Linked DNA regions of Struthio camelus. The protein of the gene in region 1 purifies or fractionates together with the protein of each later gene. This does not show direct contact. Links are inferred from orthologs where the notes say so. Each region holds a gene or a part of one and is shown in the gene's direction. Other genes may lie near its edges. The genes, in order: SNW1, CCNT1, EEF1A1 and SNRPB2.

What was found.
Region 2: the proteins of SNW1 (region 1) and CCNT1 purify together in Homo sapiens (affinity purification with western blotting; 3 studies listed by BioGRID and IntAct, with this or other methods). This does not show direct contact. The link is inferred for Struthio camelus from reciprocal best matches to the Homo sapiens genes SNW1 and CCNT1.
Region 3: the proteins of SNW1 (region 1) and EEF1A1 purify together in Homo sapiens (affinity purification with mass spectrometry; 3 studies listed by BioGRID and IntAct, with this or other methods). This does not show direct contact. The link is inferred for Struthio camelus from reciprocal best matches to the Homo sapiens genes SNW1 and EEF1A1.
Region 4: the proteins of SNW1 (region 1) and SNRPB2 purify together in Homo sapiens (affinity purification with mass spectrometry; 3 studies listed by BioGRID and IntAct, with this or other methods). This does not show direct contact. The link is inferred for Struthio camelus from reciprocal best matches to the Homo sapiens genes SNW1 and SNRPB2.

What each region holds. Positions count from the first base shown.
Region 1 is NC_090946.1:59,329,832-59,337,141, reverse strand, and holds the start of SNW1 (SNW domain-containing protein 1), read left to right. Parts: upstream 1-4,310; 5' UTR 4,311-4,390; coding exon 4,391-4,404; exon of another isoform or gene 4,405-4,658; intron 4,659-4,800; exon of another isoform or gene 4,801-4,817; intron 4,818-5,463; coding exon 5,464-5,617; intron 5,618-7,310. Other genes in the region: ADCK1 (aarF domain-containing protein kinase 1), read right to left, coding at 4,116-4,148. UniProt on the Homo sapiens protein: Involved in pre-mRNA splicing as component of the spliceosome. As a component of the minor spliceosome, involved in the splicing of U12-type introns in pre-mRNAs.
Region 2 is NC_090969.1:1,042,851-1,050,428, forward strand, and holds the start of CCNT1 (cyclin-T1), read left to right. Parts: upstream 1-4,578; coding exon 4,579-4,772; intron 4,773-4,902; coding exon 4,903-4,984; intron 4,985-5,235; coding exon 5,236-5,364; intron 5,365-6,270; coding exon 6,271-6,331; intron 6,332-7,546; coding exon 7,547-7,578. Other genes in the region: ADCY6 (adenylate cyclase type 6), read left to right, coding at 1-116, 1,634-1,758, 1,848-1,976. UniProt on the Homo sapiens protein: Regulatory subunit of the cyclin-dependent kinase pair (CDK9/cyclin-T1) complex, also called positive transcription elongation factor B (P-TEFb), which facilitates the transition from abortive to productive elongation by phosphorylating the CTD (C-terminal domain) of the large subunit of RNA polymerase II (RNA Pol II).
Region 3 is NC_090944.1:42,400,605-42,407,732, reverse strand, and holds the start of EEF1A1 (elongation factor 1-alpha 1), read left to right. Parts: upstream 1-4,121; 5' UTR 4,122-4,405; intron 4,406-5,264; 5' UTR 5,265-5,312; coding exon 5,313-5,456; intron 5,457-6,323; coding exon 6,324-6,503; intron 6,504-6,646; coding exon 6,647-6,943; intron 6,944-7,128. UniProt on the Homo sapiens protein: Translation elongation factor that catalyzes the GTP-dependent binding of aminoacyl-tRNA (aa-tRNA) to the A-site of ribosomes during the elongation phase of protein synthesis.
Region 4 is NC_090944.1:134,156,877-134,164,377, reverse strand, and holds the start of SNRPB2 (U2 small nuclear ribonucleoprotein B''), read left to right. Parts: upstream 1-4,498; 5' UTR 4,499-5,062; intron 5,063-5,436; 5' UTR 5,437-5,460; coding exon 5,461-5,524; intron 5,525-7,487; coding exon 7,488-7,501. UniProt on the Homo sapiens protein: Involved in pre-mRNA splicing as component of the spliceosome. Associated with sn-RNP U2, where it contributes to the binding of stem loop IV of U2 snRNA.

The sequences.
Region 1 (7,310 bases):
AATATACACAAAAGTAAGTGTTTTCAAAGCCAATTGTGGTATTTCAAAGCCAATTGTGGTATTCGCATCAAATTAAGATGTCCCTGCTGGCAGCCACGCCAATATACCTTAGAGCCTCAGCTCCTTACTCACCATATGGAGGACCATTGTGGTGTACTTCTGAAAAGTGATGTATGTGGAGACCTTATAGCTTGCTGTCTAGTAATGTTAAGCAAAAAAGATCATGGTAAAAACAAAAAGGAACTCATCCTTCTTTCTTAGAGACTGGTTTATAGTTGGGGGAAACAGATCTAAGGATTTCAGAACCATTCCTTGCATAAATGTTTCTTGTTATGAGACCTCTGCTAGAGCTGCCATCTTTGAACAGTTACCAGGTCTGGTTCAAAAAAACTCCAGAACTAGGAGATCTGTGAAGACGTTCCTGAAACATGACGTTTCAACTGATTATTTCTATATTGGCTCTGAGAGTTCAGGCTGGCCTAAAGAAGACCTTGTAATGATGAAAATGTCTGTTCCCTAAAGACTTTCAGCTTTAACTAGAAGATAACACTAGACAGCACTAGAAGTGAGTACTTTCCATGCCGTTCCAAAGGTTAATCATTCTCATTGTTAAATATTTCTGCCTAATTTCTCATTTGAATTTCTGCAATTCCAGCCTCCAGTTACTGGTTCTTGTTATGCCTTTCTCTAACAGATTAGAGTACTTTCAGATCTTGTAGTTTTAACTTGTAAAAGTACATATGCATGATGATCAATCTCTTCTCAGTCTTTTTGTAATAAGCAAAACATACTAAAAGTTGTAATTTGCTTACTCAGAATCAATTCCCTTCTTAATGTAATTGACAATAAACACAGATAGATGGAGCTCACCCTCTCCTAATTTGGCGGTACAGCATTTACCTCTTAAGAGCTAACCACAAAACAAGTGCACTTATTGTATTTGCCCTACACTTCTAATTTATGCTAGCCTTAAGTTATCCCTGTAGTTTCCAACCCTCCTCAATTTTCAAGCACTATTTTAAAAATGTGGTCACCAGGACAATATATAGTGGCCCTAGAATTTGCTCTGCCCCTACTTAAACATCCCTGGGGCGCACTGGACTTTTTGTTACTTCATTGCACAACAAATTCATGTTGAGCTGCTTCTCTGACATGACCATTCTAGATCCTTTTCAGAAGCTCTCTTTTCCAGGATAGTACAGTCTGTACTTAACCCCTCATTTCTTACTTCCAGATAAAGAAGTTTGCACCATGCGATATTAAAACACATTTTGTCTGAATGGATCACATCTACCATGTAATCTAGTATGACTCTCCTCTCAGCGTTACTGAACATTTTGCCACTCTGTGAGAGAGCTAAAGACTTTTTGAAGTGATTTCGTATTGACTGCCAGATCGCTGATGAAAATGTTGACTCGTGTAAGTCCTAGTATCCCATCCTCAGAAATACCGTTATTCAGTGTTGATCCCCCACTGATGATCTTTTGCTTTTTGAAATGCCAGCCAGTTCTCCACCCATGTAGCATACATCTTCAAGTGTTGCACAGCGCTAAAAAATGTCGTGGTAGGCAGAAGTAATGGAAGGTGCACCAGATCAGGTCCAAGGACAACTGTACGAATTAATTTTTTTGGTCTTGTGGCTAACCCAATATATGAATTAAATCATTATCCCACTTCAAGAGAAAAATGAAAAAAAAATCCTGTTCTAAATGAAAAGAAGTTTTACTAGACTAGAAATTAAACATTCTGGTTTTAAGAATTTTCCTACTTTAAAAAATACAGTAGGCTAAACTTGGCCAACGTTGTTTTAAACCAGGGTTTAAATGTTTCATTTTGAAAAAGTTGAAAGAAAATATGTTGACTTTTCCAAACTTCCCTCATTTTTGAGTTCTAAACTTCTCAAGAATTTATTTTTGTTTATCCCAGCAAACATTTTTGACAAGTTAAATGTAAGCGTTTTCTAGGTTTGATATTCTGCATGTACCCCAGGACAGGGACAAGTAGTTACCCACAGCTGGATAAGCAGTAGGTGCCTAAAACAGACTGAGATACATTTACAAAGCCATACGGTCTGGAATAAGCTTGTGGAGCCCCTTCACACCATATGGTCCACTCTACCCAGCGTTAAGAGCCTTACATATTCACAAACTCTAAATTAGCCAACTCACACATCAAAAGTAAACCGCAAAATTGAACCGTAAAAATTATTCAACAGAACTGGTCTTACAGCCAGACAGCTATAAACATCTCCAAACACAAACAGCTTATTGTCTGCAAAGAGAGAGAAAAAAAAAAGAATAATTATAAGAACAAGCAAGCAGTGAGCGTGAGGAAACCAATGGAACATCTCTCAAGTGTTGGAGCTGAACCAGATTGCTCAGGTACAATTTTACCTTCTGAACAACAATTTTCTGTAGTGACTGTCATAAAAACTGTGTTGCAAAATAGTTCACAAACTTGTACAACTACCATACAGCATTAAATAAAACGTCACAGCAAAGGAAGGAGGAGAAACATAGCAGTAAGACAGAGAATAGACATTTTTTCAGTTGAGGCTAGTATCACAGTGGGAGATAGAGACAATGGCAACTTCATATGGTGACAGAATGCTCTTTAATCTGGGGGCAATACTGCTGGATGTGACAACAGCAATTCAGTTCCTAAACAAGTGAAGGAAATGGATACAAGAGATGACAGAGGAGCTTTGCTTAGCACAACTATTGATAAACAATATATGTCAAAATCTTGTATCTTTAGCTTTGTTTGATGTACTCAGAAGAGGACAGTTTTCTCCAAGAGAAGGGAAAATATGTCATTCATAGAGCTGATGACACAGCTGCTGTCAGCACAATGCAAACCCGAAGTCAGATTTCCACTGAAGTCAATGAGAATTTTGGCATAGAAGGACTACAACAGAACTGCCCTTACAATCCTCCAAATCTCACTCAGCCTAGAAATTCTAACAGATGAATTTAGTCTACAGGAGTTTTGTCTCTTTTATAGTCTTCCTGCCTCTTACTGCACGGAAAGTTTTTATTTATTTATTTGTAATAGGAATATGTTTGCTTCTTATACATTCTACCCTTTTCTTCTCTAGTCGGCTTGTGTGTCTCTTCTAGATGAACCATGCCAGGCAAAGTGGGCATGATCCTCACCATACTTCACAAGATGGTAACACAATAGTAGCAGTTATTAATCGGCAACTAAATTTATTGTCCTATATGGCACTAAATACTGCCACTTCAGCACTAGCGGCACCTTATCCGTTTAAAGCTCCATCTAGTCTCCAGTTACTACAACTTCCTGGCTAATATTTTTCCCTATTTCACATTTTAACTATATCCTAAAAACTACATCTCTTGAGGTGTTTTAGAAGCTTCATTTAAAAAAACACTATGTAACATTTGAACATACGCCCATTACATGTACACAGCATCTGACATTTAATGCAAAAGCTTTTATTTTAACTCAAGTTATTTATATACCAGTTTTCATCTCTCTCTCTCCTTTTTCTCTCATGTCCTACTCAGTGATGCCTAAGTACCAGATATCAGATCAAGAAATTCTATTGCAATGCCATTTGCACTGTATTTTCTACCTTTTACTAGGATACCTCATCCTTCAGCTGGATGAACCATTAAGTTACTGAAGTTGTTGGAAACTATATTTATAGACAGGATGTCTAAAAAAGGGGCCTTTGTACCAGGCTTCCCTCCTTTTTTTTCTTTGCAATTTCAACGAAGACAACTGTATCAAACCTGCTGAAGCAGCTTTTCTGGGATTGTGCCATTGCTGCTGGGTCCAACTCTTCTGTTTCAGTTTGCAGAGACCAGCAATGCCTTGGGAGGTATCGAAGGGGTAAAGATAGGCACTACGAGAGACACCGTCGACTGAGGCTGGGGGGATTTCATCAGACTGGGGCTGTCAGGTAGCAGATTTGCGCCTGGCATCGCACATCAGGTCCCAGGCCCCAATGTGGCTGCAGTGTTTAGTGACCCACACCAAGCCCAGCAGCGGCCTAGAGACCAGCGTGCACAGATGGAGATGTCCTCCACCATCCTGCACACTACAGGCTGGCCCTGAAAAAGAAAAAGGCCCTTACGGCCGCCCCGTACCTGGGAAAGACCGCTCAACCCGACCGCCGCCATGGCAGCCACACGACCCAACACGCCTCCGCGCCGGCGGCGGACTGCATCTCCCAGCAAGCACTGCGCCATGCGCGCATGCGCCTGGAGGCGGGGGACCCCGCCCCGCCTCCGATTGCGGAGCTCTGAGACTACAACTCCCAGCCGCAACTGGGTCGCGCGGCGCATGCGCAAGCGCGCTCCCCGCCCCCCCACCCCCACCCCCCACAGACGCTGGGCCCCGAGAAGACGACGAAGGCGGCAAGATGGCGCTCACCAGGTGGGTCCGGCGGGTTCGGTTTGCCCGGGTCGGGGGAACTGCTCTCTCTCCTGCCTGCGTACGGCTCCCCGGCCGCTGTGTGGGGCTCCGGCCGCCGCAGAGGGCCGCGCTCAGACCTCGCGCTGCCGGGCCGCGGGCTCCCTAGGCGCTGGGCCCGCCGGCCGACGAGGCCGCGCCGCGGTGGGTCGAGCGTCGCTGCTCCCTGGGGACGGCGAGGGCCAGGCCGGGGGAGGCGCAGGGGCCTGCCCCGTACTGGCGGGAGGGGGCGTTGGGCAGTGCGGGCACCGCCTTCTGGACGAGGGGGCTCCTGCCTCGCGTGCTTCTGCGGGAAGACGGAGCCCCCGGCCTCGGCTGGAGGTGATCGGATCGGTGCGATTTCTGTGGGGGTTTTCTCACCGTTAGTGAGGATGGGAGGGCCTTGTTACGAGCTGCTGCGTTTCTCTGACCGTCTTCAGGAGTGCGACTTCTGTGGGCTCAGGAGCGCCTTCCGTTTAGGAGGTAGATGCTTCCTTGAAGACATGTAAGAGGCCGTCTAGATGAGCTGAAAAGTAGGAAGTCAAGAATTCGGGGCTCAAGTTCTTGACTTTGGCTGGCAGGGGTTTAGTGCCAAGGGGGAGGATTGTCGATAGATCTCTCTGTGGACGTTCGCTTTGAGAGAAGAGAAGGGGGAGTCACTGAGACTAGGGGTGTATTTTCTTTTTTCTGATTGGTAGTAGTGGAAAAAAAAATACATAGTGGTCTGTCACACTCTTGTTAGAGAATGGTCACTGTCATGCTGCTGCTCAGGCAGGATGTGAATATGGGTGAATTTAACATCAGGTTCTATAGAAATCCTTCAGAACGTTGACAGAGCACGAATTGATTTTGCCCCTTTAAACTTGGAAGTTACTGCTCTGTGCTTCATGAGCACCATGCTCAAGTTTCGTGAATCTCTATTGATCAATGGTAGAGAGAAGAAGAATAGTCTAGTTACAGATTCAAGTGTCAGTTGAGTTTTGTTGAGTGAAATTCTCAAAATTAATTGTCTCTCTTTATTTTGGGCTATCTATGGATGTGCAGTTTTTTACCGGCTCCAACCCAGCTGTCTCAGGACCAGCTAGAACTAGAAGAAAGGGCGAGAGCGCAAAGATCGAGGCAAACTGCTCTAGTGTCATCACGAAGAGAACCTCCCCCGTATGGTTACCGGAAAGGATGGATACCACGGATGCTGGAGGTATATGCTTACAATCACACTGTAGTAGTGTGTCTCTGTTCATGAAAAAAAGTGTATTTTTTGGAGTAGAAATAAACTCTGAGCATCTTGAATGTAGCACAAAGAATTGTGTGAAGCCTTACCACATGGAGAACTTCCATCAAAGCTGATGGATATGTTCTTGAGTCAGGGGAAGTTGTTGTAATTAACTGTGTTACTTAAAAAGTTTTATGGTAAGCTGTATATTGTATGGGCTCTTCCCTTTAGAAATTATTATGCAGTAATGTGGAAATGGTTCCATGGCCATGTCGGTTTACAGTCTCTCAATGCAAGGATGCTCCAAGAAAGACATCTGTGTTTTCCCCTCATCGTTATTTGTTAAACACGTGATCTAGGTTATAGCTGGAATAAGGAAACAGATATATATATATATATATACACACACACACATATAAGAGAACAGACTACTTATGGGTATTCTGTTCTTATGGTAACACGAGGTAGCTGCTAGTGTGGAGGGAGAAACTCTTGTTGGAATTGAGAGGAAAACTTTAAAATTTGTCATTGTTAAAGTGTGTTACTGGCAGAAGGGTCTTGGATGGTAATCGTGGATGGTAATTAGCTGTGATCCCGGCCTGTTTTATGTGATTTCAACTGGAAGAGTTGAAAATTTGGATAGAAAATGCAAGTGTATAACTGAATACAAAAATCTTTTGGTGTGATTTGTCATTGCAGATTTGGAAAAAAAAAATTGCAGACAGTACTTGAAATGGTACTTAACACAATGTCTGAGACCTGTTACGATCAGCCATGAGCAAGTGTTCTTGGGACAAGGCATACTGTTCAGGTTTTGGTACAGTGTTTTGTGATCCAACCTTGTTCACAAATGCCATCATTTCATGAGCTAATAACAGCCTTACTTACATAAATACTTTACGTTTGGAACCATCTTTTTAAAGATGGATCCAACACAGTACTTTGGTGATCCATTAGCACTAAAAAAAGGTGACTTCAAATAGTTCCACTGCTCCTTTAAGACAAACTTCTTCTGTAAGCTCTGCATTTAATAATGTTAAGAGCTCTACATTCACTTAAACTTTCTGCCTACGCTACTTCTGATGTTAGCATATTATTCTCCAAGTGTTAGCTAAGAACTTCTTAAAAAACTAGGTCAAGGTTTTTAAACAATTTCCAGCATCACTGGGCCACAAAGTGATACAGATCTCAAAAGGGCTGTTAAGGACTCCCTTGTCCATCTAGATAAATACATATTCTTCAAGGGTAATAAATGTTTCTAAAGCATAACCTTGGTCCCATGATTCTGGGATGGCATCAATGGAAAAATCCATTCTTAGAAGATCTAGAGTACTTTGAAAAGTTCTGAGGAATGACTAACTTTTGTTCCATGTAGTATTTTAACATTGATTCTGTAACGACTTGTTGCATGTGGGACATCCGGTAGAAGACCTTCAGTAATTGGTCCTGTATTTCAGTGAGCACTTTAAGCTACCGTGAGCGTGTGCTGCTGTGGAGGGGTGTTCTGCCCACTTACTCCAGCTTCAGTCCGCTCTCTGTGTTGCACTGGCAAAACTACTTGTCCACATGGTGAATATGATGGAGGATCAACCTACTGAAAATGGAACCAATCTTTTTCATTGATCTGATTCACTGTCAGGCTCTGCAAAAGCTATGCCACTGCAGCCGAAAGAGGAGG
Region 2 (7,578 bases), on another chromosome or scaffold:
GTACGACCGGGAGGGCCGGAGCCACGTCGCCGCGCTGGCCGACTACGCCATGCACCTCATGGAGCAGATGAAGTACATCAACGAGCACTCCTTCAACAACTTCCAGATGAAGATCGGTGAGCGAGAGCCCGCGGCCCTCGCACGCCCCTTCCCCCTCGCACGCGCTGGCCCTCGCACGCCTCTTTGCACGTGCGCGCCCTTCGTGCATCCTGGCCCTTGCACACCCCTTCCCCTCTTGCCCGCAGGGCCCTTCCGCCCTGCTTTGCGCGTGCTGGCCTTTGCACGCCCCTTCCCCTGCGCAAACCCTGCCCTTGCACGCCCCTTTGCACACCCCGGCCCTTGCACACCCCTTCCCTTCAGCACACGCAGCCCTTGCACGGGCCAGTTCTTGCAAGCCCCTTCCCCTGTGCCCGCTCAGCCCTTGCACACCCTGTCCCACTTGCAAGTGCAGCCTTTGCTTGCACTTTTGCACGCCCTGGCCCTTGCACGCGCCTTCCCCTGTGCACACGCAGCTCTCGCACGCCGCTTTGCACACCCCGGCCCTGGCACGCCCCTTCCCCTGTGCACACGCAGCTCTCGCACGCCGCTTTGCACACCCCGGCCCTGGCACGCCCCTTCCCCTGTGCACACGCAGCTCTCGCACGCCGCTTTGCACACCCCGGCCCTGGCACGCCCCTTCCCCTGTGCACACGCAGCTCTCGCACGCCGCTTTGCACACCCCGGCCCTGGCACGCCCCTTCCCCTGTGCACACGCAGCTCTCGCACGCCGCTTTGCACACCCCGGCCCTGGCACGCCCCTTCCCCTGTGCACACGCAGCTCTCGCACGCCGCTTTGCACACCCCGGCCCTGGCACGCCCCTTCCCCTGTGCACACGCAGCTCTCGCACGCCGCTTTGCACACCCCGGCCCTGGCACGCTCCTTCCCCTGTGCACACGCAGCTCTCGCACGCCGCTTTGCACACCCCGGCCCTGGCACGCCCCTTCCCCTGTGCACACGCAGCTCTCGCACGCCGCTTTGCACACCCCGGCCCTGGCACGCCCCTTCCCCTGTGCACACGCAGCTCTCGCACGCCGCTTTGCACACCCCGGCCCTGGCACGCCCCTTCCCCTGTGCACACGCAGCTCTCGCACGCCGCTTTGCACACCCCGGCCCTGGCACGCCCCTTCCCCTGTGCACACGCAGCTCTCGCACGCCGCTTTGCACACCCCGGCCCTGGCACGCCCCTTCCCCTGTGCACACGCAGCTCTCGCACGCCGCTTTGCACACCCCGGCCCTGGCACGCCCCTTCCCCTGTGCACACGCAGCTCTTGCACACCGCTTTGCACACCCCGGCCCTTGCACGCCCCTTCCCCTGTGCACACGCAGCTCTTGCATGCTGCTTTGCACACCCCGGCCCTTGCACGCTCCTTCCCCTGTGCACACGCAGCTCTTGCACGCCGCTTTGCACACCCCGGCCCTTGCACGCCCCTTCCCCTGCGCAAACCTTGCCCTTGCACACCGCCTCGTGCACGCTGCCTCTTGCACCTTCCTCCCCTGCGCCCGGGCCGCTTTGCCGGCGGGTGGTGTGCGGAGGGGGTGGCGCGACGCCGTGCCCCTCTCCCCCCCACCCCAAACAACCCCCCCCCCCCCCAGGCCTGAACATGGGGCCGGTGGTGGCGGGGGTGATCGGCGCCCGCAAGCCGCAGTACGACATCTGGGGCAACACGGTGAACGTCTCCAGCCGCATGGACAGCACGGGGGTGCCCGACCGCATCCAGGTGAGCGCGTCCCCCCCCCCCTCACCTTGGCTCTTCCCCACCCCTCCCCCCAAAATCCCCCCCCCACTGACCCCCCCACCACCACCCAGGTCACCGCCGACCTCTACCAGGTGCTGGCGGCCAAGGGCTACGCGCTGGAGTGCCGCGGCGTGGTCAAGGTCAAGGGCAAGGGCGAGATGACCACTTACTTCCTCAACGCCGGCCCTGGCCACAGCTAGCGGGGAGGGGGGGGGATTGGGGGGGGGGGTCCGGTTCCCCCCCCCCCCGCCACCACCGCATCCTCGCGGGGCCCAAAAAAAGGGAGAAACGGACCCGAGGGGAGGTGCCGGGACGGGGCCGCGGCGCCCCGGAGCCGTGTCGGGGCGGGGGGGGGGAAGGATGGCAGCTCCCCCCCTCCCCCCCCCCCCGCCTTTTAAATGCAAAAAAATTAACGAAGTGACTTTTTTGTTTTTAGCGGATTGGGGGCGGCGCGGCGCCGCGGGGAGGTGGCGCTCACGGTACTTTTCCTGCGTGTGTACAGATAAATTATATATAAACCTCACTTTCGATAAGAGCTGCGGCGTGGCCTGGCCTGGCGGGGGGGGGGGCTGGGGTCACGGGGTCATGGGGAAGGGGTCACAGGGCTGGGTCAGGGGTCAGCAGTGCTGGGGTCATAGGGCACAGGTGGGGTCAGGGATGGGGTCACAGTGGGGTCAGGGGTCAGAGGGAGGGCTGGGGTCGCAGGTCAGGGGTCAGGGGAGGGCTGGGGTCGCAGGTCAGGGGTCGGGGAGGGCTGGGGTCGCAGGTCAGGGGTCAGAGGGAGGGCTGGGGTCGCAGGTCAGGGGTCGGGGAGGGCTGGGGTCGCAGGTCAGGGGTCAGAGGGAGGGCTGGGGTCGCAGGTCACTGGGGGGGTCAGGGGAGGGCTGGGGTCGCAGGTCAGGGGTCAGGGGGAGGGCTGGGGTCGCAGGTCACTGGGGGGGTCAGAGGGAGGGCTGGGGTCGCAGGTCACTGGGGGGGTCAGGGGTCAGAGGGAGGGCTGGGGTCACAGGTCACTGGGGGGGTCAGAGGGAGGGCTGGGGTCACAGGTCAGGGGTCAGGGGGAGGGCTGGGGTCGCAGGTCACTGGGGGGGTCAGAGGGAGGGCTGGGGTCACGGGTCAGGGGTCAGGGGGAGGGCTGGGGTCGCAGGTCACTGGGGGGGTCAGGGGTCAGGGGGAGGGCTGGGGTCGCAGGTCAGGGGTCGGGGGAGGGCTGGGGTCGCAGGTCACTGGGGGGGTCAGGGGAGGGCTGGGGTCACAGGTCAGGGGTCAGGGGGAGGGCTGGGGTCGCAGGTCACTGGGGGGGTCAGAGGGAGGGCTGGGGTCACAGGTCAGGGGTCAGGGGGAGGGCTGGGGTCGCAGGTCACTGGGGGGTCAGGGGTCAGGGGGAGGGCTGGGGTCGCAGGTCAGGGGTCGGGGGAGGGCTGGGGTCGCAGGTCACTGGGGGGGTCAGGGGAGGGCTGGGGTCACAGGTCAGGGGTCAGGGAGGGCTGGGGTCGCAGGTCACTGGGGGGGTCAGAGGGAGGGCTGGGGTCACAGGTCAGGGGTCAGGGAGGGCTGGGGTCGCAGGTCAGGGGTCAGGGGGAGGGCTGGGGTCGCAGGTCAGGGGTCGGGGGAGGGCTGGGGTCGCAGGTCACTGGGGGGGTCAGGGGAGGGCTGGGGTCACAGGTCAGGGGTCAGGGAGGGCTGGGGTCGCAGGTCAGGGGTCAGGGGGAGGGCTGGGGTCGCAGGTCACTGGGGGGGTCAGGGGTCAGGGGGAGGGCTGGGGTCGCAGGTCACTGGGGGGGTCAGGGGAGGGCTGGGGTCGCAGGTCAGGGGTCAGGGGGAGGGCTGGGGTCGCAGGTCACTGGGGGGTCAGGGGTCAGGGGGAGGGCTGGGGTCATAGGTCACTGGGGGGTCAGGGGAGGGCTGGGGTCGCAGGTCAGGGGTCAGGGAGGGCTGGGGTCGCAGGTCAGGGGTCAGGGGGAGGGCTGGGGTCACAGGTCAGGGGTCAGGGAGGGCTGGGGTCGCAGGTCAGGGGTCAGGGGGAGGGCTGGGGTCGCAGGTCAGGGGTCGGGGGAGGGCTGGGGTCGCAGGTCACTGGGGGGGGTCAGGGGAGGGCTGGGGTCACAGGTCAGGGGTCAGGGAGGGCTGGGGTCGCAGGTCAGGGGTCAGGGGGAGGGCTGGGGTCGCAGGTCACTGGGGGGGTCAGGGGTCAGGGGGAGGGCTGGGGTCGCAGGTCACTGGGGGGGTCAGGGGAGGGCTGGGGTCGCAGGTCAGGGGTCAGGGGGAGGGCTGGGGTCGCAGGTCACTGGGGGGTCAGGGGTCAGGGGAGGGCTGGGGTCGCAGGTCACTGGGGGGGTCAGGGGAGGGCTGGGGTCGCAGGTCACTGGGGGGTCAGGGGTCAGGGGGAGGGCTGGGGTCATAGGTCACTGGGGGGTCAGGGGAGGGCTGGGGTCGCAGGTCAGGGGTCAGGGAGGGCTGGGGTCGCAGGTCACTGGGGGGTCAGGGGTCAGGGGAGGGCTGGGGTCATAGGTCACTGGGGGGGTCAGGGGAGGGCTGGGGTCGCAGGTCAGGGGTCAGCAGGGTCAAAGGCCGAGCGCGCCTCCCCCACCTCCCCCCACTTCCGGGTTGGGAGGGGGGGGAGGAGAGCGAGCGAGCGAGCGAGACGCCGCGTCGCGCATGCGCGGCGGGGGCAGCGGGGCGGGGCGCGCGCGCGCGCGCGCGGCCCCGCCGCGTGACGCAGGCGCGCGCGTTACGTCGCGTCTGCGTCTGCGTCGCGTTGCGTCGCGTTGCGTGCGTGCGCGCGCGCGGGCGCGGATCGCCATGGAGGCCTCGGCGGGCGGCGGCGGCGGGGCCGGCAGCGCGGCGGCGGCGGCGGCGGGGCGGCGCTGGTACTTCAGCCGCGAGCAGCTGGACCGCAGCCCCTCGCGCCGCGCCGGCCTCGACCCGGACAAGGAGCTCTCGTACCGCCAGCAGGCCGCCAACCTCCTGCAGGACATGGGCCAGCGCCTCAACGTGTATCCGGCCCGCGCTAGGCCGCGCAGCCTGCGCTCGAGTGCCGGGGCGGGGAGGGAGGGAGGGAGGGGGAAGGGGAGGATGAAGGAGCTGCCCGGTGAGGGGGGGGCGTTTCCTTAACCGTGCCGCCAGCTCGCAGCTCACCATCAACACGGCCATCGTGTACATGCACCGCTTCTACATGGTGCAGTCCTTCACCCAGTTCCACCGGAATGTAAGTGCGCCGCTGCCCCCAGTCCCGGGCCGGGGGTGGGGGGGTGCTGAGGGAGGCAGGGTGCTGCCCCGCTGCTGGTAGCTGTCACAGACCCCCTTGTGTCCCCCCCTCCCCCCCAAGTTACCTAGACACGCTTTGTTTCCCAAAAGAATATTTATCGTATCGTTAAAAAAACTAGCCTACTTTATTTGCTTTAGTCTTGAGCTTATTATCTTTAAAAAATTAAAAAAATATATTTTTCTTCTCTGAAGTCGGTGGCACCGGCGGCTCTGTTCTTGGCAGCCAAGGTGGAGGAGCAGCCTCGTAAACTGGAGCACGTAATCAAGGTAGCACATGCCTGTCTGCACCCCCTGGAAACTCTTCCAGACACAAGGAGCGAGGTAAGTGTGGAGATGGGAGGACCGCGCTGTGAAGTGAGGAGCAGAGATGCGAAGAATGGGAATGGTGGGAGTGTGCTGCATCCTGAACCGTGCAGTTCTGCTGATATAACTAGATCACGTGGCTACAGCGTCTCGTTAAATCAGGCTCATAAGCATCCACTCTCTAAATGAGTGGTTGTGTCGTAGGATGGTTAGTTACAGCTCAATTCAACTGCTCTCTTACTACAGAGAGGTTTTTGGCTTCTGTACAGCAGAAGGTTTTTCTTTCCTGCTCTGTGGCAACCTCTCTTCTGTTTTCCTCTGCTGTGCTGCTGCGAATGTGACTCAGATGTGCTGTGTAACAGTGTCTGCATTAAAAAGCTTCTGAGGAGAGCGTGGATGTTGGCTGCTGGGATTAAATAGCGTCTGTGGCAGAGCAGCAAATGATGTGCGCAGTTTGATTCTGTTCTGTTCCCGCTTGTTTAATTGTGGGTTTATTAGAAACGTTGCCAATTCCCTATCTCTCAAGACAGCCCGTCTTACCTGGAACTGAGCAGCCAACCCTGCTGAAAAGGGGAAGCTTTATCCAGGAGCCAAAGCTTAAGGAGAAAGCTAAACGCCATCCTGTACTGCTCATAGAGCCATCCCGTGCCATGTAACCCCTCTTGAGGGACCAGGACTAAGAGGGCCAATGCGGATCCTGAAGCAACAATCCTGTAGAGCAAGAACTAGCAGGGGAGTGGGTCCACCCAGCGCTCTGCTTTCTCTCTTCTGGCAGGGAATCTGTGCCAGTTTCCCCAGTCCAGATTGGGGCATAAAGATTCCCCTTTGCTATTTTTTTGCCTCCCTGAGAAAGGGTGTTAGAAATGTGCAGGCTTTATACGGAGTGCCTCATCGTGAGTAACTTGCCTGTCCTCTCAACCCCAGGCTTACCTGCAACAAGCCCAAGACCTGGTCATTCTAGAGAGCATAATACTGCAGACCCTGGGTAAGTTTTTCAAAGCGGACGGGCTGCCACACGAATCCCAGACCCAGGAGTGTTCAGCAGGGCGGAGAGTCTTAACTGCACAGTCTTCTCCACAGCTGGAGGGCAGATGCACAGCTGGCCAGTGGGAAAGCAAGAGTCCAGGCAACAAACTCTTTTTCACACCCACACCTTGTGTTTTCCTTTTAATAACAACATTTTCAGGTTTAACTTGTGTCAAGTTCAGTGTTCACAAAAAAAAACATGTGAAAGTGTGGCTCGTCTCTTCCCACCCCCCCCTTCACCCCCCTTCCCCAACAGGTTTGTACTGCTCGGACATTGGTCGCTGTCCTCTGTTATGCTGTTAAACTTGATAATGCTCTAGTCCAGTGGCCAGGAATGGAAGCTGTTTGCACTGGGAGATGTCTAACAAAACCTGAGTTGAAAGTTAATATTTTGATCAGGTCGCTGTTTTGTTTTGTTTTGTTTTTAGCGTTCAGCTGAACTATCCCAGCCACAGTTTTCTTTCTGTTTGGTTTTTGAAAATAGAACCTGGAGCCCACAGTAAGGGGTGTGATTGTCTGTCAGATCGAGGATCTTATTCGTGATCCGAGTTTTGGATCTACTGTGTTTGGTTCTCCAGTTGCCTTTTTTTTTTTTTAAACTTCACAGTTCATCTAGAATATTCTGCACAGAAAAAGCCAAATCTGTTACCCACATGGACAGATTTGAATTGAAATTTTTTTCTTTAAACCATAATGTACAAACTAAATAGGAAACTGAAGCAAGGATTAAGTTCAGTTGACTTTAATGCTGTAGTCTCCTTCAAAGGGAAGACGTCTGTTTCCTCTTAGCTTTTTGGGTGAGAAAAATTCCTCTGAGCAAATGCCATTGTCTTCTCCTTCCTCCCAGCTGCTGTAAGAGGTTTTGTCCTTCTATTTTTAAAATCCTTAATAGTTGTTTTGTTTTCAGTGAGGTCTTTCACGCACAGAAGTCATTTAGCTGCTTGGAGGCCTGGCAGCAGCCGTGACCTTCAGGTTTTGTGACTGGAGAACTTGAGTCTTCTGGATAAAGGAAAACGCGCTCCTCTATTCCTGCTCACCTCGGAGCGGAGAGCAGGGGCTATAGGAGGGAAGGGGAGAACCAGGCTTGTCCCCCACGAGCAGGAAACGTGAGGTTCGTAGATCTCTGGGAGCGTGCTGCTAGTTGTCTGATGGCCATATATCTGTGTTCTTCCAGGCTTTGAGATCACTATTGACCACCCGCATACC
Region 3 (7,128 bases), on another chromosome or scaffold:
GATTTGAAAAGCTAGCTTCTTCAAGAAGTTTCAGTTACCTAACCATGCTCAGTTCAAGTTTTGAAGCATATTCTCTGTCTAATCTCTTGGTGTGTAAATAACACCATTAGTCTATTAATTGTTCTAATAAACACTGAGATGACTGTTAAATCTGCTAATAAGTATTAGGATGATGTAGGGAAAAGGATTTCTTAACAGATATAGATGCTTTCTACTTCTAGCAGGAACCAAGGCATTGAAGTGCATTTATAGATGGAAGTAAAGCTGTGTGCTCATCCTATAATGTATGTTGAACGTTTGGACCAACATAGTTACATACAGCAGGAACTAGGAAGTACGTCATAGTAAGTATGAGGTTAAATTATTCTGTAAATTATGAGGTTAAATTATTCTGTAAATTATTCTGTATTGCAGAATAATGTAGTGCACCATCTTTTTTCTTTTTTCCTAATCACCAATTAGTATTTTTAATTTGGTATTTTTCCACCAGTCTTTCTGAAAGTGCCCTCAGGAAATCTTAGCGTCTCTTCCATATATCGTGAGCTCTGATAAATACAGATCTGATAAACCCAACACCTTAAACTGTGTTTATAAAGCCTGTGTTTACTCTCACTTATGAATGACCATGCTCATTGCAATTAGAATAGTTATGTAAGTGCTACCTGCACCTTTGCAAGGGTCTGATCAAAAAGATGCCACTTCCACATGCATGTGGAAGCGAACATTAAAATTATCGAGGCGCTCAATGAGAACATCTTTTATTTTCTAGCGTGATTTCACTGACCTTATTTTACATTTATAGTATACTCTCTATAGCTATGTATTAAATTGAAAATAAGACTGTAGTAGCTAGTTTGATCTCCAAATCTAGTAAACATTTATTTTTACGCTGGTTAGAATATTTGGCCTAGATATGTGGACAGCGTAACTTTCGTTTCAGTACTATTTGACCTAAGAGTCAGGACTTTCTGCAAAGGTGGCTACTCCATAGGTTTCTACAATGTTAAAGCTTTGGAGAACACTTCTGTGTATTCTTAACACTGCAGGCATATATGAGGATGAGTTATTTCAGTGTAGCATATGCTCAACCATGATCACGGGAGAATGAATAATTTTTTTCCCCCCACAAAGCCCTTCCAGCAATGGTCGGGCTAGACTTTACAAGGACTGCTCCAAAGCCTGAAAGATCTTGACTTCTTGAAATCTCTTCGTTTCTTCATAAGCCTTTCGTATCAAAGAGAATAGTTTTGTCTAATGAACAGAATCAGAAATATGTAACAGGCTATTTGCATCCAGGATTTAATCCAGTAAATGCCTATCTGTGTTAGTTGTTTGAGAGGATTCTTCAGAATGTATTTCCACTGAATTATGTGAGACTACTCATATATCTGAAAGCTGCCCAGCTGTATAAATATTTGCAAGATTGATAATAGGAATGTTCCGCGAATAGAATGGACAATGAAAGACATGCCAGTTGTTGAGAGAATAAAAGCGTGCATTGGACCGATTAAGGAGGAAATAATAAAATTCTTGTGCAAAGTTCAGTTAAATAAATGGAGGAAAAAACTGTTGTGGACTTGAATCAGGACCATGATTAAAAGGTTGTACAACAAATTCAGTAGACTTTCAGCCACATACATACCACAGAAATTCCTGTCTTAAGAAATACGTAGTTCCAAACGGCTTCATTTTAAAAAAAGACTTCTAAAATAAGTTATTTTAAAATTTAAAAAAGTCCAGTTTATTATGGGCCACGTAAGAAATCAGTAAAATATTTCCTTTCTCCTCCCTTTGTTGAAGCACAAGGAACTGATACCTATTGAAAGTTTTAAACTATTTTTATTAGAATGGATCCTTTGACAGATCAGTCCACTAAAAATACTTTCTACTGAAATACCCATTTTAGAAGCTAACTTTGAAGCATCCTGAATAGTACTCCTTTTAGCTTGCGTTTACAAGCTGTCTTCGCGTTACAGGAGACCCAAAAAGCGCTGCTTATCTTCCTTACCAAATGTTAATTACCCTTTTGTCATCAACCTGAGCCTTTAAATTACTTTATGGTCATGGATATTTTTAATTTTGAAAAATAGAAAGTTCTGTTTCAAAAAAGTGATCCATTTCCCTCCCCCCCCCCCATTACTGTGTCTTCATATGAAACTTCTTCGCTTCTTAACAGCATTTCTGTTCACCTAAATGTTAGTTCTGCAGAACGTTGAACTCTGTCTAGCTGCTACCCGTTTCCTCCTAAAAAACATTGGAGAGAAAGAACTTTAACTTTATTCCTTTCCTAAAAAATAGTGAGTTTAACAATATCTAAACGTTTTTGCAGGTTTTTACTCAGTGAAACTGAAGCTGTCAGCGTGTGATTTTTATTTAACAATATCTGAATCTTTTTGCAGGCTTTTACTCAGTGAAACTGAGGCTGTGTGTGTGTGTGTGTGTGTGTGTGTAAAAGGTGTTTTCTAAACTCAACAGCCTGTTTAATACATGACATTTTCAAATTATTTTTACAGCCTAATTTTTGTTAATTGTGGATGTGGAAAAATACCAGATATTTATGGAAACATTTCACTTGTACATCAACCCATGAAGTAGGGTGAATTTGTTTGTTTTTGTTGGGTTTTTTTAAAGAAACTATTTCCACGCTTTACTACTCCAATCTGGAGAACATTGCAGCGAATGAATGGTTTTGTTGACTTTGCTCTACTGAAGACTGCAGTTGGGCATATCTAAGCAATGGCCTCTAATGGAGGTGTTTAAAGTACCTGGAGAAGGAAATAGAGCATGCACTCTTTCTTTCTTCGCAGATATCATCTTTTTAAAGGGCCATGTGAAAATATTCATCTTTTTAATTTCTCTTTAATAGGTATCTGAGATTTGAATATGTAATGGGTTTTCTTGTCTCGTTTAGGAGTGAAGGAATCAGAAAACAATTCAATCCGTTGGAATCATGAGGACTTGTTGAGGGAGCCAGGCCATCCAGTAGTTCTCTTGTTCATAAATGTTGACCTCTCAAAAAATAGCACGAGGGCACTTCATGCAATTTGGGGTTTTTTGCACACAGAAGTCGTATTTCTTAAATGTGTAAGTGATTCTCTTTGGTCACACCTGAAGCCTTTCCATTTCAGATGCAGCCTGTCTTAAAGCATGTCCATCTTGACTGGTATTTTGTGCGAAAAAAACCTTTTAACTTTTTTTCTCGCAATGGTGCCAGAAAAAAAGAAAAATCTTTTTAAAAAGCCAGACTACGTGGTTTCCTGTTCTAGTGTAACGGGGTTCCCTGGACTCCTGCTCGCTCGCTCTCTCTCCCCACCTCCGTTCCTGGGGCACTTGGGATATAATGAGCTGGAGGGGTTCTTCCTTTCCAGTATCTCAAGCAACTGGCAACTTTAGGCTAGCGAGTGCCACTCAGACTGAACGAGTGCCACTCAGACTGAACGACAGTTCTGATCTCATTGATTGAGTTCCTTTGTGTCTCTAATAAGAAACATAATGAGGGTGCCTGGGGCCATTCTCCAGGGCTTGGTTTAGCTGCTAGATGTCCCTGTGCTGGACCTGGTACTGATCCAATCTGTACAACTTTTTCTTCCCCATCTTCTCCATGTGTGGGAGGGTCCAGAGGAGAAATCTGGCTCAACCAAACCCTGCTGTATCTCTCCGCTCCCCTTGCTGCTGCTGCGGTCATCTTGGAGAAAAGAAAGAAGTTTTAAGCTTGTCCCTTCCCCCCCACCGTGTATGTTGAGGGCCAGGGATGATGAAGACCAGCCAGCTCTTAAGCTCCTTGTAGTTCTCCAACAGCAATGGCGTAGTCAAGCAGTCATCCCTGTGCCTCCCTCACCTTTCTGTCCCACCCTGACCTGCGCCTGCCTGTTCTATTCTTTCATGATGTTGGTGCAACTCGTGACTCACACCCACGCACGCCAAGGGCTGCTGGAGCTCTTGGCCGATGCCCGTTCTTCCGACGCCCTCGACCCGGCCGCCCCCACTCGCTCGGTCAGGGCTGCGGCTCGCCAACCGCCTGAGCCGGCGGCAGGGGCTCGCGGGCGCCGCCGGGCGGCGGGCGGGGCGGGGCGCGACGAGCCCAGCCTCCCTCCCTCCCTCCCTCCCTCCCTCCCTCCCTCCCTCCGCGGCGGGGAGGGCCGCGAGGCGCCCTTCGCGCCGAGGCCGCAGTCCGCGGCGGGGAAGCCCCCGGCGGCTGCGCGCCGCTGCCCGCCTCGGCGGCCGCGCCCTTTGCCCGCGCTGCCTCTCGGGGCCGGCGCTGCCGGGGCGGAGCCGCTGGAACGCTGGGAGTGGTGACGTGTCGCTTAGGCGCCGCCCCCCCCGCCCAGCCTATATAAGGGGAGCCGCTCACGCCGTCGGTCTTTTTCGCTCCGGGTTTGCCGCCGCCGCCGTCGCCGCCTGGCAGGTGAGGCGCGCCCGCGCGGGGCAGGCCGGGGGGAGGGGGAGGGGCCGGCGGGGCCCCACGCGGCGGGCGAGCGAGCGAGCCGTCGCGCGCGCGGGGGGCCGCCGGGGAAGGGGGATCCGCGGGGTGAGGGGCGGGCGGCGCTGGGGAAGCGGTGGCGCGTCGCCTCCTCGTCGCCGCTGGGGCCTGCGGAGCGGCGTGGCCGGGCGCGCGCACGCGCTCTCGGAGGCGCGAGGCGCCCGCCGCTGCCCCGAGGGCCGTGGCGGCCGCTGGCTGCGAGGGGGTGGTCGCGGGCAGGGGAGGCGGCGTGGGGGAGCCGGGCCCGGGAGCGCGGGCGGCCGGGTGGTGCCCCGGGCTGGGCGGCGGTGGGGGGAGGGGAGGACGGGGTGCGCGGAGGAAAAAAAAAATGGCCGCTCGCTTTTCCTGCCGGCTGCGAACTTCACAAAATGGAGGACGCGGCGGCCCGGGCGGGGTGAGTCACACACAAAGGAGCGGGCCGGGCCCCGCCCTCCGCCGCTGCCCGTCAGCCGCCCGCGCCGCCGCCGCCGCCCTGCTCCCCGGCCGCCGGGGGGTAACTCGAGCCCCGGCCGCGGTGCGGGGAGAGGAGGGGAGGGGGGCGACGAGCTGGCCTCCGCCGAGGGGCCCCCGGCCTGCTCCCGCCCGCCGGCTCCTCCCCTCTCCCGGCGGGGCGGAGCCGCGGCCGCGAGGACGCCGCGCGTGCGCGCGCGGAGCCGCCATCACGGTCTGGTGCCCCCTTTCGACTGCTCCCCTGGGTGTCACCGAACGGGGCTGCGGTGGGGAAACCTGTGGTCGTGACTTCGTTTTTACTTCTTTGTTTGTTTGCTTGCTTTTTGGCTTTTAGGTGTCGATTCTCTTTTGCCGAAAGAAAGAGCTTAACTAAACATCCAAAATGGGAAAGGAGAAGACCCACATCAACATAGTCGTCATTGGCCACGTCGATTCTGGCAAGTCCACCACAACTGGCCACCTCATCTACAAGTGTGGTGGCATTGACAAGAGGACCATTGAGAAGTTCGAGAAGGAAGCTGCTGAGGTTTGTGGGCCTTCAACATCCAGCAGCACGTAAAGGGAGCGTGGGTGAACAAAGAGAAGTTCAGTCGCAAAACTAAGCTGATAAATTGCGAATGTACTGTTTTGCGGGCCGCTGGTTTGAAATTGTGCCCATAGTTGAAAAAGCAGTAGTGTTTGTATCTCTTGAATCTGCGCATTCTGTTAGTTGGCCCCCGCTCAAATTATTGATGCTGAAACGAGCAGAACAGAAGAACAAGTAGCATCTACATAACGACGGTAACGATAGTCTGGGATTGGAGCTAACGTGCAGTTCCCGTCTTAAGTCTTTGTGTGCGTTTAGTTGAGGATAAAATTAAAGCAGTTGTTATGATTGCTCTTATACCGGAAAATCCAGGAGTGCCTGCACTTCAGCACTGGAGCTTGTAGAATGCTAATCTTAAACAAATTATTCATCCTTTTTCTATGTAATATTGGAGATCAGGTCTTAGCAAACATTTTACACGTGAAACATACTAAAGCTAGTGTGAGAAGCAGTTTAGATGTTTGATTGTGGCGGGGATTGCATTACTAAGAAAAGAAAAATTTCTGAAGGACACTTGATAGGAGAGCTTAGCTTTACAAGGTTTAACTTGTAATGTGTTAGTACAGTTAACAAGCTGTCAAGAGTACTAAAAGTGTCAGCAGGTTAAATAACAAAACGAGTTGGCATCTGTCACTAGTAGTGCCAGATGAATCTAGGCCAGAGTTTTGTAAGCAACAACACTTACCAGTATAAGCTACTCTTATTTTTAGATTTTTGCCCTTTAGGTAGTGTCTCTCAGTTCGTGATTTTTCTGAACAAAATTAAGTACGTATTTCAAAAACACTGAATTTTTTTCTTAATCGATAGATGGGCAAAGGTTCCTTCAAATACGCCTGGGTCTTGGACAAGCTGAAAGCTGAACGTGAACGTGGTATTACTATTGATATTTCCCTGTGGAAATTTGAAACAAGCAAGTACTACGTCACCATCATTGACGCTCCTGGACACAGAGACTTCATTAAGAACATGATTACTGGAACTTCTCAGGTATGTAAATAGAACTAAGGATTTTAGGAGCTTGGGAGTGGGGTGTTTTTTTTGTTTGTGTGTATCTTAACACACAGACACGTATGTAAACTTCATAGTTGATGTTACTATTTTTTTCTTTCTTTCTTTCTTTCTTTTCAAAGGCTGATTGTGCTGTCCTGATTGTCGCTGCTGGTGTTGGTGAGTTCGAGGCTGGTATTTCCAAGAACGGGCAGACCCGTGAGCATGCCCTTCTGGCCTACACACTGGGTGTGAAACAGCTGATTGTTGGTGTTAACAAGATGGATTCCACCGAGCCACCTTACAGCCAGAAGAGATACGAAGAAATTGTTAAAGAAGTCAGCACTTACATCAAGAAAATTGGCTACAACCCAGACACTGTAGCTTTTGTGCCAATTTCTGGTTGGAACGGAGACAACATGTTGGAGCCTAGCTCTAACGTAGGTTTGACGTTTGTATTAAGAACTTAATTGATCCTCAGTAATCTTATTAGTTCATGTAATAGTAAAACATGCATATGTTTCGGTAGTTTAAGTTCAGTTTGTGGGTGCTGAGCTCAAAATCGGATCGTGCCACTCGACAAATTCTTAGTCTAGTCTTATGTCATCAAAACCAGCAGATAATT
Region 4 (7,501 bases), on another chromosome or scaffold:
TGTTCTTTATAAGTTTCCTAAATACAAGTTTCCTGTTCACCAATGCACGCAGCATGGGGAATAAGCAGGAAGAATTAGAGTTGTGTGTGTGGTCGCAGGGCCATGATCTCGTTGCAGTTACAGAGACACGGTGGGATAGCTCACATGACTGGAATGCTGTCATGGACAGCTATGTGCTTTTTAGGAAGGACAGGCCAGGAAGGCGAGGTGGTGGAGTTGCTCTTTATGTGAGGGAGCAACCAGAATGTATGGAGCTCTGCCTAGGGGTAGATAAAGAACAGGCTGAGAGCTTATGGGTAAGGATTAAAGGGCAGGCTAACATGGGTGACACGCTGGTGGGGGTTTACTACAGGCTACTTGAACAGGAAGAGGAAGTTAATGAGGCCTTCTACAGACAACTGGAAGTAGCCTCACGATCACAGGCCCTGGTTCTCATGGGAGACTTCAACCACCCCAACATCTGTTGGGAAGACAGCACAGCTCGGCACAAACAGTCAAAGAGGTTCCTGCAGAGGATCAATGATAATTTCTTGACCCAGGTAGTGGAGACGCCAACAAGGACAGGTGCAACGCTAGACCTTGTACTAACAAACAAAGAAGGTCTAGTTGGAGATGTGAAGGTTGGGGGCAGCCTTGGCTGCAGTGACCATGAGATGGTGGAGTTCAGGATCCTACGAGGAGGAAGCAGGGCAATAAGTAGGACTGCAACCCTGGACTTCAGGAGAGCTAACTTTGGCCTCTCCAGGGACCTACTTAGGGGAATCTCATGGGATAGGGCCCTAGGAGGAAGAGGGGTCCAGGAAAGCTGGTTAATATTCAAGTATCACCTCCTCCAGGCTCAAGATCAGTGCATCCCTCTGAGTAAGGAATCCAGCAAAGTGGGCAGAAGACCTGCATGGATGAGCAAGGAACTCCTGACAAAACTCAGACAGAAGAAGGAAGTCTACAGAATGTGGAAAAGGAGACAGGCTACTCGGGAGGATTACAGGGACAATGTCAGAGTATGCAGGGATGCGTCAAGGAAGGCTAAGGCCCATTTGGAATCAAATCTACCAAGGGATGTCAAGGACAACAAGAAGGGCTTCTTCAAATCCATCAGTAGCAAAAGGAAGACCATGGGAAACGTGGGCCCACTACTGAATGTGGTGGGTGCCCTGATGACGAAGAATACAGAGAAGGCAGAGTTGCTGAACACCCTTCTTTGCTTCAGCCTTCACTGCTAAGGCCAGCCCTCAGGAATCCCAGACCTTGGAGACCAGGGAGAGAGTCTGGAGAAAGGAAGACTCTCCCTTGGTCGAGGAGGATCAGGTTAGAGATCACGTAGGCAAACCTGACATCCATAAATCCATGGGCCCTGATGGGATGCACCCACGAGCGCTGAGGGACATCATTGCTAGGCCACTCTCCATCCTCTTTGAAAGGTCCTGGCAATCAGGAGAGGTGCCGGAGGACTGGAGGAAAGCCAGCGTCACTCCAGTCTTCCAAAAGGGCAAGAAACAGGACCCAGGGAACTACAGGCCTGTCAGCCTCACCTCCGTCCCTGGAAAGGTGATGGAACAGCTCATCCTGGAGGCCATCTCTAAGCACGTGGACAAGAAGGTGATCAGGAATAGTCAGCATGGCTTCACCCAAGGGAAATCTTGCTTCTGTGATGGGATGACTGGCCGGGTAGATGAGAGGATAGCAGTGGATGTTGTCTACCTGGACTTCAGCAAGGCTTTTGACACTGTCTCCCATCACATCTTCATAGATGTAAGCTATGAGGTAAGCTCAGGAAGCACAGGCTAGATGAGTGGATGGTGAGGTGAATTGAGAACTGGCTGGATGGCAGAGCTCAGAGGGTTGTGGTCAGTGGCGCAGAGTCAAGTTGGAGGCCTATAGCTAGTGGTGTTCCCCAGGGGCTTATACTGGGTCCAGTCTTGTTCAATGTATTCATCCATGACCTGGATGAAGGCACAGAGTGCACCCTCAGCAAGTTTGCTGAAGATACTAAACTGGGAGGAGTCACTGACACACCAGAAGGCTGTGCTGCCATTCAGAGGGACCTGGACAGGCTGGAGAGGTGGGCGGAGAGGAACCTCCTGAAGTTCAACAAAGGCAAGTGCAAGGTCCTGCCCCTAGGCAGGAAGAACCCCATGCACCAGTACAGGCTGGGGGGTTGACCTGCTGGAAAGCAGCGCTCTGGAGAAGGACCTGGGAGTGCTGGTGAACAACAAGTTAAGCATGAGCCAGCAGTGTGGCCTTGTGGCCAAGAAGGCCAATGGGATCCTGGGGTGCATTAAGAAGAGTGTTGCCAGCAGGTCGAGGGAGGGGATCCTGCCCCTCTGCTCAGCCCTGGGGAGGCCTCACCTGGAGTACTGTGTCCAGTTCTGGGCTCCCCAGTACAAGAGAGACATGGCACTCCTGGAGAGAGTCCAGCGGAGGGCTACCAAGATGATGAGGGGACTGCAGCATCTCTCCTGTGAAGAAAGGCTGAGAGAGCTGGGCCTGTTTAGCCTGGAGAAGAGAAGACTGAGAGGTGATCTGATCAATGTGTACAAGTTTCTGAAGGGGGAGCGTCAAAAGGATGAGGCCAGCCTCTTCTCCGTGGTGCTCAGCAACAGGACAAGAGGCAATGGGCAGAAACAACCACAGGAAGTTCCATCTGAACCTGAGGAGAAACTTCTTGACTGTGAGGGTGACAGAGCATTGGAACAGGTTGCCCAGAGAGGTAGTGGAGTCTCCATCCTTGGAGATATTCAAAACCCGCCTGGACACGATCCTGAGAAATATGCTCTAGAGGACCTTGCTTGAGCAGGGGGGTTGGACTAGATGATCTCCAGAGGTCCCTTCCAACCTCCACCATTCTGTGATTCTGTGTGATTCTGTGATAACATATTTTCCTTTTACTGGGGAAAACTCCAGAACGTGGAAGTCATTTTTTTTTCTTAAAATGTGACTGAACTGACAACCCTTCCTAATATTCCTGTCTCACTACAAAGGGATAAGTTTCACTGTGGACCTGTCCAAATCAGTTTAAACAAGAACCATCTTAAGGATTATATTTTCCCCCAAGAGCTTCTTTTTCACATGCGACCAGGTTAAATCTTCACAACATAAAATTGCTTCTGAAAAAGTCTGTAAGATCATTCATAAAAGTAAAGGCATTCTGCCTGCAAAATTATTCCAAAAATTCAAAGGTTGCAACCTCAGAATCTCTGCTCTGTTTATTTATCCTGAGGTACTGTTACTGCAGGGATTGTAAAAGTATCTTCAAGAAATTAGATACATTGCCTTTTCAATCTCCAAACTGAAAACAAATGTCAGTTAATGAATATTTGTCTGCAGGTGTTTTCAAATTTCTGCTTTTCTTTACTCTCCATGAGTTCATATGTTGACAAAAGAAGCAAAAATCATAGTTAAGTTTGCTCAGTACTCTACTTGAACGCATCAGAGCTAAGAATTGGGGAAACAAATAGTGAAATACATGTACTAAACCCCTAATTTAATCAGTTTTAAGAGTCGCTGTGATTTCAGTGAAGCCAAACCTACTACTCCCTCTTTCACCCTGGGACTGATTCAAAGCAAGAAGATGGAGTTCACAGAGGTGTTTCTGTGGGCTTCAGTGGACCTCACACCAGGCAGGTTCTCTCTTAGGTGCGTGCCTGGCTGGATGCCCCGGAGCAGCGTGGCTCCTCAGCTCTGCGCAGTCGCTCTGCAGGCAAGGCCAAGCCGGGGCTCCCTGTGCAAGGGCAGGCTGTGCGGGCGCAACCGCAGCAGCCAGAGCCAGGCCGTCACCCGCGCCAGCTACCTTCTCGGGGCTCGCTGAGGGGGGAAGCAGGGCCGCTGCTGAGTGTGCTTTGCCGACTTGCAGTTTGCCTTATCCTGCTGTTTCACCTGCACTATAGGAACCGGTTCTAGAGATTTCCATCCCACCTCCCCAAATATGAAAAGAAGATAGAAAAAAATCTGTAAAATATTCTCTCTTCTCCATCTGAGGTATACAAATTATCTTACTAAGGTTAACTGTGACTTGGATGCAGCACACATAAAGAGCAGGGAAGAGAGTTTGGATTATTTTCACACAAGCTTTTAATTGTGTTGTAATGAGGAAGACAGAGGGGCTGCAGTAAGACACGAAGAACTAACTGCGAGTGACGGTTTTCAGAAAGAAATTTGAGTTCTAAACTAATAATGTGGTGTCATTGACTCACAAGAAAAAATGCATTACGGCTTTTATACCAATTTCTATTGTATGTAGTTTGATAACTGGCAATAACGCTTTTGTTTAATAATTGCTAAATGATATGTAAAAAATAATTGCACTGTGCATACATTTTTTATTATCTCTACCGAGAAGGTGGAAACAGCCACAGAACAAACGATTCACACGCAGTCAGCTAATCTTTGTTATTTAAACCAAGCTATTTGTCTAACGGTTTTACGATGCATTTTCCCTTTTATCTCATTGCCTTTGGAAAACTAGCACAGCAACAACGATGGAAACGTTTGAGGAACCAGATAAGCATAGTATGAGAAAAACAAACACTATTTTCTCCTCCGGGAACCACTGGAGCGACAGGCATTACTCTCCTCCCTTCGCTTTGCAGGGATGTAGGGTGCTTTCTTTCTTAAATACTGCCTACAGGCCACGTCCTCATCAAGGAGCCTGACGACTGAATTTTGCAGTGCTGCCAGGCTCTTGTTCGAGCGCGATGGAAAGCACTGCTGCTCAGGTCGGCTTCAGGGTCAACACAGCTCCGAGCAACGAGCTCAGCTCTGAGCTGAGAGGGGGAAAAAAACCCTCTCTCAGCTAGACTCCCAGGTACTTCGTGCCAGGAGGGCCTGTTTCCACACAGAGCGCAGGCGGCGCGAACAAGGAGGCGGCACTTGGAGCCACACAGGACGGCAACGCGCCCAACCGCCGCCCAACCTGCCACTGCGCACGCGTCAGCCGCGGGCGGGGCGACATCGACCCGCCGGCGCTCGGCACATCGATTGCGGCGGGATCGGCTCGTCAGCTTGCGCTGCGTGAAGAGGCGGCCGGCGCAGCGCGGTGCGGCCTCCATCTCGGCGGGGAGAGGTGAGCCAGGGCGGCGGCGGCGGCCTGCCTGGCCCCGGGGTCCCGGCCCCGCTCCCGGGAGAGGCATTGGGGTCCCCGTCGTGTTCTGGGCCGCTCCGGGGGGCCCGGCCGTGGGGCCGCGGCCGCTGGCGCGCGGGGGGCGGGGGGGGTAACGTGCTCGGGCCGGGGCGTCGCGGCGCTGCGGTAGGTGCGGGAGCGCTGTTAAACGGCCGGGGAGAGGGGCGGGCGGTGGGGCCCGGCGCGCTGCCGCTGCGCTTTCCGCGCTAGTTAACCAGCTCCTGGGTTGTGGGGCGTCCGCGGGGCTGGCGGCGCCTCCTTTGCCGGGGCGAGCCTTCATCCGTTATAACGTTGCGATGCGTGTGCTCTGTTTGCAGGCAGGTGTGTAAGCGAGTTGGAGGATGGATATCCGGCCAAACCATACGATTTACATCAACAATATAAATGACAAGATTAAAAAAGAAGGTATGAATGTCTGTGACTCTTATGTTTAGTAGAAAGCCGTCGCATATAAAATTCTCATATATAAAAGGTCAAGCTTATACTGGCCTGCAGTTTTTACTGCTCTGGAGCCTAAGCTCAAAAGCTTATGTTTTGGTAGCATCTCACCCTCAAAGATCCTCTAAGCTGTCTAGTAATGTACTGCAAGTGGTGATCATGAACCAAGTTCTCAGCTGTCAAATCTTTTTCATGAAGAAGTAGGTAAAGTTAGCCAGCCTTGGACCATGCGCAAGTTTTTCCACAAGCTGGAGTTCTTATTTATTTTTAAGGAAGCTTCTGATTGCTTGTATACTGTAGTTGTACAGCTAATCTTACAGATTAAGCTTGTTTATCCTTAAATAAGTGTAATCATAGTAGTCATCTAATATTCTGATAGGTTACTCCTAACAGGCATGTTTGTGTATGTTCAGGTGGTCCCATTCACTGAAAGTGGAAATATCTGTATGCTTGTTTTTCAATTTAATGCCTTAGAAAATCACTGAAAGTGGCATAAGCTAACTTGTTTCCCTTCATTGTACTGGAGACTTGATGTATGTATGCGGTTACTGAGGTCCTCTTTAGAGAGTGATAATTTCTTGTTGAGGGTTTTTAGCTCCTCACGATGTGCTAATAAGATCACTTGTTCTTATCTGGTTGTGTACTCAATGTCTGTGTGGGACCATCTGGCTCTCCTTTTCAATGTTTATGCATAATTCTTAATCTAAAAGGGATAAAGATAATTTAATACTGTTTGTGAACAGTGGGTTGCTGGATCAGACACTAGCCTTGCTTAAACATTTCTTTTGGGTATTTCAGAGAGTGATCTGAAAGTAGGAATAACTTTGCCAGTACACTATCGATTTGTCAAGATTGTTCCACTCAGTAAATTAAACTTAGTGGTTCTCTTATAGCATGTTATGTACTATGAACTAATAAGTGCCTGGTTATTTTTAAAATGTAGAATTGCAAGTTGCCAATAATATCAGGCTTACAAACCAGATTTCTAGTACGTCTTTTGAAGTTATTTTTCTTAATGTTTGATATGAAAACTTTTATTTTTCCCTTATTCACATCTGAAGCTTCTTCTGCATTCATTGCTTTGTAAGGCAACTTCCTTCACAAGTTCCCTTGATTGGTTTCCTGTTGATTCTGATCTTATACAGAGCTGTAGCTGATCAAGAACAGTTGGGAAAAGTGACAGTGGGCTGGTACTAATGAGTCTTAACAGCAATAAACAAAAGTCAGCAGAAATACTTCAAATAAAAGAATTGAATAACATAAGAAATATTAAGTTTGAATGCACTACAGAGGATTTGGGATTTATTTATGTTAACTGGATAAGATTAAGGTTTAACTTGATGTGGAGTCAGATGATTTTTTTTATCATGAAAATAAATCTGTAGCAACTGTAAGGGATAGTGTGATTATGTGAAAACATATTCCAATCTAGAATATGAAAAAAATATTTCAATATGCTTGAAAGAATGAAATTTTGTTTGCAACAGTCTGATTTCAAACTTTAACTTGCCTTATGTTTATTTTGATTAATTACTAATTTACAGTATTTTCTTTACGTCGTACTACTTTACTGCCATGTGTTATGGCATTGTATACTACTCAGTATTTGATGGCTGTAATGCATAATACTTCATGTGTACATTAATCCTTGCATAATTTATACTCCCTTAGAATGGTAAAATGGATGGAGGTACGACTTTTTTGCTAGTTGAATACTTGTAAGTTGGCATATAACACTTGGTTTTGCATTATGAAAACTGAGCAAATGAACTTGGGCTCATGCAACAACTTTGGCTAAACTAATGTAACAGATTACTACTTCAGCTAAAAGTAGCAAAAAGTACTGTCCCTAGAGAACAACAAACTTCATAAAACTGAGCATTTGCATATAACCTATGATAATAAATGTGTTTTTCCATACCCTCAACAGAGCTGAAGAGGTCC